Arabidopsis thaliana: one gene and its partner. The protein of the gene in region 1 interacts with the protein of each later gene in a pairwise test. Each region holds a gene or a part of one and is shown on either strand. Other genes may lie near its edges. The genes, in order: ABCI10 and ABA2.

What was found.
Region 2: the proteins of ABCI10 (region 1) and ABA2 interact in binary tests that used the Arabidopsis thaliana proteins (3 or more experiments, as listed by UniProt).

The regions. Positions count from the first base shown.
Region 1 is NC_003075.7:16,097,290-16,102,037, reverse strand, and holds ABCI10 (ABC transporter family protein), read left to right. Parts: upstream 1-1,597; 5' UTR 1,598-1,924; coding exon 1,925-2,188; intron 2,189-2,493; coding exon 2,494-2,580; intron 2,581-2,919; coding exon 2,920-3,048; intron 3,049-3,134; coding exon 3,135-3,257; intron 3,258-3,500; coding exon 3,501-3,713; 3' UTR 3,714-3,968; downstream 3,969-4,748. Other genes in the region: AT4G33467 (uncharacterized protein), read left to right, coding at 1-112, 198-347; SCRL22 (SCR-like 22), read right to left, coding at 216-424, 818-1,030, 1,208-1,280.
Region 2 is NC_003070.9:19,489,264-19,493,811, forward strand, and holds ABA2 (NAD(P)-binding Rossmann-fold superfamily protein), read right to left. Parts: upstream 2,388-4,548; 5' UTR 2,265-2,387; coding exon 2,215-2,264; intron 1,542-2,214; coding exon 734-1,541; 3' UTR 531-733; downstream 1-530. Other genes in the region: AT1G52330 (Late embryogenesis abundant (LEA) hydroxyproline-rich glycoprotein family), read left to right, coding at 1-382; AT1G52342 (uncharacterized protein), read right to left, coding at 3,177-3,440. UniProt on the Arabidopsis thaliana protein: Involved in the biosynthesis of abscisic acid. Catalyzes the conversion of xanthoxin to abscisic aldehyde.

The DNA of each region.
Region 1 (4,748 bases):
AGAGACAGAGCCAATGACATTGCATCTCGATCAATTAGAAAATGCTCGAGAAGAAGCATTGTATGTGATGAAAACAAAAACAATGGAGGAAGCTATGGATATTTTTACAAAGGTACGTATTTACAGTAATTTTAGTTTTTGGAGTTCCTTCAAATTTTCTTTTTTTCTTCGTAACGTTAATTAATTAACAAAATTAGCAGGAGACGCATGAGGGGTTACGAGCTAGTGAAGAAAGAGGAGGGAGATGCATAAATCTGAAGGATGAGGAGGATGATGATGATTATGAAGACGAAAGAATGATGTTTATGAGTCCTCATGCTTGGGACATTCATACCGCTCCTTTCTAATTTAGTAATTTGTAACCTCTTTTTTTTGGCTCTTTGATTTTCAGTTTTCCTATACTCCTTGGTCTTTTTGTAAATATCTGAATACTTAAAAAGGATATTAGATGTTTTTACATACATTAAAGAAGGAAAAACCATTGTGAAGCACAATCTAACCGGTTTTAGAACATATCAATCTTAAGAACATATATCCGAAGGCGTGACTAAATAGTAAATTCATAATCTACGTCAAAAAATTTCTTTCATGGTATCTAAGTCTTGAATACATGTTCTTTCAACCTGAACCTAAATCAATCCGACCCAAAAAAAAAAACTCGATAGTGAAACATGTTAATTAAATAAAATTGTTATTGCCTTTCGTTGTGATTGAAAAATTGGGATCTTAACACCATAGTTTTCTTATTATTAATTAATAAATAATATGTTAGTATTGATGGCTGAAATTTCTAAAAAGTTATAAGATTAGGAATTACATTCATAAGGATTAGCTCTTTGACAAGTGCAGTCATGTTCGTCCTTGGGTGATTTGGGTTCCGGTTTTAAGTTTTTACATGTGCACTGAAGAAAACGTTGTTGATACTTTGATTCCATTTCTTTGAAGCATTTCTTCTTTCCGTGAATGCCGCATTTAGCAGGGAAAGTGACGAGATTCCAACAGTCTTGGGGAGGTGCTCCAGCTTCTACCTCTAATTTGTCATCAACCAAAACAAATTGTTAGTTTATAGATATAAGAAAATTAGTAATACCATATAGTTTTTAATTGCGTCGACATGTTCTAGAGCTGCTTTTCTTCTTTGTTTGCAACAATTCTTTTGGTGATTGCAAATTGCAAACAGTCAATAAAAAAGAGTTTAATATAATACCTTGAACATGGCTTAGAATTAAACAGATGGAAACACAAGAAACCATAAACAAAGTAGTACACCACATCCCCATGCTTCAAAAACTGATGATATATATTCTCTATTACTTGGAAAAATTTAACCAAATTTTGTCTGACTCTCGTGATAAATATATTCGCTTATTTAGTTGGAACCACACAACCAAATAATTGTTCCGATAAATTTGAGAGGAAAAACATAAGATGGAGCCAAGTCAACAAGATCGGCAGAATAGGCTTCCAATTTTTTTAAATTCTTACTAAAATTCAATATTTCACTGCTATTTTTCCTTTTTTATTTATTTATTTTGTTATATAAATAATTTTGATGGTTAATTTTTTGTGAGTCAAATCCCAATTATTAAATTTCGAAAGCAAATTCATGATTACATGTGATTTCGAAATTTAAACGCTCAGCTTCAAATTATACCGTAACGTCGGCACTAGAAAACCGAAATAAAATTCGAAATAAACCTCAAACCGTATCAAACCGAACCGGATGATATCGATTTGAAAACCGGACTGGCTTGGATTGAACAAGCGAAGCAACGAGAGAAAGTATCTACGGTTTCTCTGTTGCTTGTATTTTTTGTGTGTCGATTCGACGAAGCTTATTTTTATGGTTTTGCGAGGAAGAAGAAGAAGAAGGAAGCTGCAATTTCAAGTCTTTAAAGAGAATTCTTGAAAATCCTTAAGAGAAATGAATGGTCACTGTTTATTTGCAGCATCTCCTCCTCGTCTCTTCCCTCTTCGCTCTATATCATCGAGTGTTTCTCCATCCGGTAGTTACAGAATCAAATTCTCCGATAATGTCGCCGTTGAGTGTCGGAATCTCTGTTTCTCCGTTAGTACAAGACAAGGTATATCTGTTCCTATTCTCCGTGATTGCTCCTTTCGGATTCCTTCTGGACAATTGTGGATGATTCTTGGTCCTAATGGCTGTGGCAAATCCACCCTTTTGAAGGTCTTTCTCTTTTCTCTTAAACATTGCATTTGCAGAGCAAAGACTTAAGCTTTTGTTAATGAAGTATCATTATTCTTACTTAAGTCATCCTTCAATCTGGTGTAGACTAGGTTTGCTAGTTGCTACTTTGGGCAGAATCTTAGATCATCACACTGTTTAGTGCAATAGCTAATCTTGGCATTTATAACATGAAACTCAAAGAGCATTCAAATCTTTGGATGCTGTTTGTATGTGTAACTAAGACTGATTACAAAGAAATGCCAGTTAAACTGTTTGATCTACATTAACTGCTTGGAACTCTGCAGATTTTAGCTGGTGTAGTGAATCCATCCAGTGGCACTGTCTTTGTGGAGAAGCCGAAGAATTTTGTATTTCAGAATCCTGATCATCAGGTTAAGTTTCTTGCTTTTGCAATGTGAATCATGTGTTTGATTTTATCTTGAAGGATCTTACTTTTTTCCCATCTTTGTTTTCTTTATTGTGAAGTGTTCTTTCTGATTTGTATTGCTGTTTTATAGTTGAGTAGGCTTGTGTGGTTGAGCGTCTTTTTCCATATCACAGACAGCCTTAATCCAAATCTTTAATTATCCTCGAAAAGCTAGATATGCTAATGACATCGAGAAGAGTCATTTTGTTGTCACATCTGAGGGAGATCAGTTAGTAACAGTTGGATTTTGATTCAAGTAAAACCGCTCATTCTGGTCACATCTGAACGTTCTTGTTCATCGCAGGTAGTGATGCCTACAGTGGAAGCTGATGTGGCATTTGGTCTTGGCAAGTATCATGACATGAATCAGGAAGAAGTTAAGTCTAGGGTGATTAAAGCTTTGGAGGCTGTTGGTATGCGTGATTATATGCAGGTCAGTTTATGTACATTGAACAACAATAAGTTGTTTATATCTTCTAGTTCCTTTTACTAAAGTATAGATTTTGGTGTTGTTTCCAGAGACCGATTCAAACTCTCAGTGGTGGTCAGAAACAAAGAATTGCCATTGCTGGTGCTTTAGCTGAAGCGTGCAAAGTGCTATTGTTGGATGAGCTCACAACTTTCCTAGATGAGTCTGACCAGGTAAGGTTTGATTAATTCTAACAACGTGCTAATGAAACACAACTAGTATTGCAAGGGAACCCTTCCATAACTGGAATATTTCAACATCGACATATGATTGTGTTATAGTAGACATTGGAAGTGAGTAACTTGCACAATTGATATAGTATCTAGAAGAAATGAAATGAATTTGACAGATATGTTATGACGTATACGCCTTTTTTAATCAGTGCATATTGTTTTCTCGGGGTTTTTGTTCTGCAGATGGGTGTGATCAAAGCTGTAAAAGATCTGATAAATGCAAAGAAAGGAGATGTGACGGCATTATGGGTGACACATAGGTTAGAGGAGCTCAAGTATGCGGATGGAGCTGTGTATATGGAGAACGGTAGAGTGGTCAGACATGGTGATGCAGCCACCATCTCAGATTTCATTAAAGCCAAACAATCGTCTTACATTGATCAAATTGGTTCTTAACTTCCTTTGCTAAGGATTTTTTTCTTTATTACCTCTATATATATATAGAGGTAATGAAAAGTCGATTATTTGCTAATAATTTGTGAAAAATTGTGATAATATAGCTCTGCAGAGGGTAATGTAGTTAGGAGGGCTCGAACTAGAGTTGAATACGAGTAAACCTCTGTTTTCCCAAAGGGAAAATAAAGAATGTTTGGAGAAAACTCCAGGTTGTAAGTACGTCCCCAAGTATTGATTAGTATAATTAAATTATAGAAAACAAGAAAAAGTTACGAGAGAAAGTTTTGTGCATGTGTGACTATGTATATGAATAATATACATAAAAAAAGTCTAAATTATGTGTTGTGTGCCCCCTATTTTGACTAATACCATTTACTTCGTCAAAGTGATATACCAAAACCAAACTTGTCTTTAATCATGCTAGAATTTCACCACGGGCATCGCTAGTAACCTGTATTACCAAGATGTAATAAATCTTGAGAAAACAAAACAGATTCTAGAACAAAAGGCAGAGTGGATTCGTCACCGAAGCTGAGAAAGGTTACTTCACTTTTATGTGAATATCACAAGGCTTGAGGCCTTACTTAGATGAGTCGACCTACATAAATAAAGAAGATACATTGTGATAATTTTTACCAAAAAAAAGAGACATTTTGATAACTATATTGTAACAGAAATCTATTTGTTTTCTTATAATAACAAAAATTCACATCTTTGTCTCATATTCTCTCTAGGTCCGAGATCATGTTATACTATATAATTCTTATGATTGATGGTTAACACATTAGATTTATACTCAAATTCTGGTATATATCATTCAAACAATACCACCTAACATGTTAAATTAATCGCATAATTCTGTGTTAACAGAAATATTAAATTATGCTTAACTTGTAAAGGTATATCTATATCACATATACCATGTTTATTTACAGCAACCAATGACGATGACTGCTATATTTAGAAGACTTGTCGTTTGTTTTTTATTCGATTTACAACTACTTGCATCTTTGAAAGTACCAACAGTAAAGTGGA
Region 2 (4,548 bases), on another chromosome or scaffold:
TGCTGACGTGTACTCTTTTGACTTCACGGATCTTGACGTCACGATTGACTATAGAGGGAAGACGTTAGGTCACGTGAGTTCTGATGGCGGGCACGTGACGGCTTTTGGTTCTTCTTACCTTGACGCGGAGGCTGAGCTTGACGGCGTCATGGTGTTTCCTGACGTCATTCATTTGATTCACGATTTAGCTAAAGGCTCCGTTGAATTTGACACCGTTACGGAGACTAACGGGAAACTTGGCGTTTTGTTCTTCCGTTTCCCTTTAAAGGTAAGGAACTTGAGTTTTTACTCAATTATTTGGTTTATCAAACTTTATACTTTCTCATCATTTGAATTTGACTTTCTAGATTATATAATCATAGAAAATGTATGCAGTTTCTAATCAGATTAATGGAATTTTGTTTTATAATTATCTTGATGAACAGGCAAAAGTGGCATGTGGGATTCTAGTAGATACTGTTAATCAGACAATTTCTCGTCAAAGTTGTAGTCCTCTCTAATTCAAGAAACATCAATACATCATTATGATATTTTTGCTACTCAATCTTTTTAATCATTATGAGAATCTGATTTTGTTCAATGTCTACCAGTAAGAAATGTAGTTAACATCAAACATTTCTACAATGCTAAAAGTAACAATTAAAACCACAATAAGCTCCACAGTTAAATTATTTGATAGACATGATAAATTGGCGGACAATAAACATTAAACAACATTCTTTAGCAAAATGCATCATCTGAAGACTTTAAAGGAGTGGTTAGTGCAAGTGAATCCTCCATCAATCATCAAATTATCTCCGCTTATGTACCGCGAGTCATCGCTAGCCAAAAACAGAACAGCGTTCGCTACATCATCAACCGTCAGTTCCACCCCTTTTAGATTCGCGTTTGCAGCAGCAAAATTCCTGAAACCAACAAATGCATCCTCCGTTCTTTCTTCCTCCGGCAAATGAGCCAAAGCGAGTTTAGTTGCAACCGCGTAAGGCGAAACACAGTTCACACGTATCCCGTGCTGTCCAAGCTCCGCTGCAACACTCCTAGTCAAGCCTAGAACAGCATGCTTGGAACCAACATAAGAATGTGGACCAACGCCTCCCACAACACCTCCCACACTACATAAGGAAACTATCGACCCTTTCTTCTCCGGTATCATTACACGAGCTGCATGTTTCATGCTTAGAAAAGCTCCTTTCACATTCACATCAAAGGTCATCTCGAACTCACTCAAACTATAATTACGAATATCAGGGCACGGTGCTCCACATAATCCTGCATTGTTGATAAGTATATCAAGCGTCCCAAAATTTTTGACTGCAAAGTCAACCGCATTGCTAATGTCATCTTCCACTCTAACATCGCCATGGATGAAAAAAGCCGTCTCCTTGGACTCACCACGAAGCAGACTTTTACACACCTCACCTCCGAGATCATCTTGCAGATCAACAATGCAGACTTTGGCACCGTGCTTGTGGAACAGACGAACAATGCTCTCACCTATCCCTGTGGCTCCTCCAGTGATCAATGCCACTTTACCCAAAAGCCTGTCACATCAAGAACACAAGAGATTAAAAGCAAGTAATTAAATTGGATTAAACCAATCGCACCATAGTCTCCTAATAATAAGGTTGAGATGTTACATCAAACTTAAGACCAGTGAAAGAAAATGCAACAGAAAAAAAAAGAACTTTATTCATAAATTGATCTGGGCCACAAAATAAAAAAAAAAAGATCTGGGCCACAAAACTACAATGGTGAAAAGAAAGGACCACAAATCCAGTTTTGAAACAGAACGTGCAAAGGAGGTAAAGATGAATCAAATGGGACACAAAATAACAAATCTGAAGTTGAGAGATTTGTAAACAAAAGCCAAATGTATATCACTAGTTTATTGAATCAGAACTGATAAAACTAATCCAAATGTTTGAAGATCATAATAAAAAGCAAAGAGACTGAAACCTAGAGATCATAAACATTTCAAGATTTGACATCAATAAATCAAACAGAACCATGACTAGATCTCAAATCTGTCGTGAGCAGAGCAAAGACACTCATGAAACTGAAAAAACTCCATGGTCTGATTATCAACTGTTAATTTGACCCTCAAAGAACAAAATTTCAGTATTTAGAATGACCCAAGAAGGAAAAAAAGGTAAAGTAAACGAAGATCAAACAAAAAGAGTTGGATCAGAGGAAAAAGTTGGAGAAAGCTTATACCTTTGACTAGGAAGAGAAGAATAAGAAGAAGATTCAGTGTTCGTTGACATAATAGCTTTAGCTCCTTAGATCTTCTTTCTTATTCCTCGATGTAGTGCCTCACTATTGACACAGACAAGCTCAGGAATCATGCAAACACCTCTCAATCGGAGTTTGCGTTGTTTCTCGGCTATTTGGTGTCGGTCTCTATACGGCTATCAAAAAGCAAGTCCTGCTTCGTCATTGGGTTTTTATGGGCCTTAAATTGTAAGCCCAATAAAAGACTAACGGATTTGACTATAAGCACATTTTGCGGATTTTAGAGACGTTAAGTTAGACCGATCCAATTTGCACCAAACCAAACCGATCCGATTTAGAAAATTAAGGATACAATTATGATTCGTAATCGAACCGAAATCCAAACCGTATCAAACCGTCCATGATACAGAATTACAGTATAGTGTTGGGTTATTTGTGGTTTCACTTTCTGTAGATCATCCGTGAGATCGATTACATTCATTCATGGGTCATGATTGATCTTCGCACATGTGTTTCTACGAATTTTCACAAATGTAATTTATGTTTTCCGATATTTCTCTAGTGAAAGTTGTATCTCGAAAATTGAAACTCCAAAACCATATGAAAATGCGTAAATAATTGTGAAGAAGTATAGTCTCATACGGTTGATTAATTAGTCACGACACGTAACATCATTTTTTTATGAACCGTTTTTAAGCGAAAAAGCTAATAAGTTATACAGAAATCACAGTAACCACGTATTCCTTTAAAAAGATTATTGCTGCCGATATTTAGTACTTTGAGATGAAACAACATCGTTATATAAAGATTCTGACGAATAAGCATTTTAAGAAAAACAAGAACCACAACACAATTTCTACTTTGATTGAAATACTTAACGAATCAAAATAACCATGAATAATAAAAATATAATTATTGTTTACATGATGAATTGATGATATGTGTTATTTGTGGAGGGATGAAGAAGAAGAAGAAGAAGAAGAAGAAGGAAGCCATTGATATTCATGTTGATGATACCTACACTTGAACGATCTTGGATGCTTCGACGGTGAACACACACACTTCTTCTTTCCACCGCCACCGTCACCACCGCTACGGTGACCAGCGGTGGCTTCCACATCTGTTGCCACCGTCACTTCTGCCACCGGAGTATTTTCGTGGAAGCTCTCCGGAGGAATAACAAGAGGTAGAAGAATTTTGTAACACATATTTTTTTGTTTCACACTCAACACAAAAATTTAAAAGATTCTTCTTATTTAAGATTTTGTGTGTGTGGTTTACCAAAAGAAAAGTCGAGTATAAATACTCGTCACTCTTGATAACAAAAATAAAAAAGAAAAAGATGTTAGTCACTCTTTTGGAAATTAAATTATTTTAGTTACATATTTATCTTTTAGGTGTTTCGTAGAAGAGATGTCGCCAAACAAAGTTTCGAAACGTCACACGTGGCTAATGGTTTTGATGCACGTCTAGAGATTTGTGTTCAGAAAGAAACCATGAGGTCAGAAATTTGTTCTAGTGTATATCCGATCTTATAAATTTTTAAGGAAATAATTTGATGACGAGAGAAATATTGTTATGGATTTTAATTAGCTAAAGAAAGAAAAGAATATTATTAAAGCAAGTTTTTTCTTGCGAAAGATGTGGATGGTGGACCATAACTCTTTGGATGAAACAAATTGGTTTGGAGATTTTATATGGTAAAGAGAAAATGAAGTGATTGGAGAGGATAAGCGGTGGGAGTGGGCCGATTACGACATCACTTCCTTTCTCTTTGGGCTTCCCATTGTCACTCATCTTCTTTAGATAAACTTACTACTTTTGAGGTCATATATCAATCAGAAATTCACAACAACTAAAACTATCTTATAGTTAGAAAAATATCGCGATTGAATCATTTGAAACGTTATTAGTTTAAATATGTTATTTATCAAACCAAGAATGTGCAAAAGACTGTTTTACGTAACATCTCCTACTAATGGTTGATCCTAAATCCAGAGAGATTATGAATTAAAAGTTCAAGATTTCTTCGTTACAAAATGATTTTTCATAAAACACCAAAATTTGTAAGATTTGAATAACTTTACGTTTGTATTGTATTTCATTTATATCAAGATTAAAAGGACTAGATATATTTATATTTTCTTAGTTTTGGATATGATTCTTTTGAAAGTTTTGGCCTACTTTTTCTTACTTTTGGATATGATTCTTCTGATCTTGATATTATTACTTCTTAGTAGACCTATTAAAAATAAGAAAGAAATAAAAAAAGCCAATATGAATGCATGCACAATATGACTTTTGTACTAAATAATT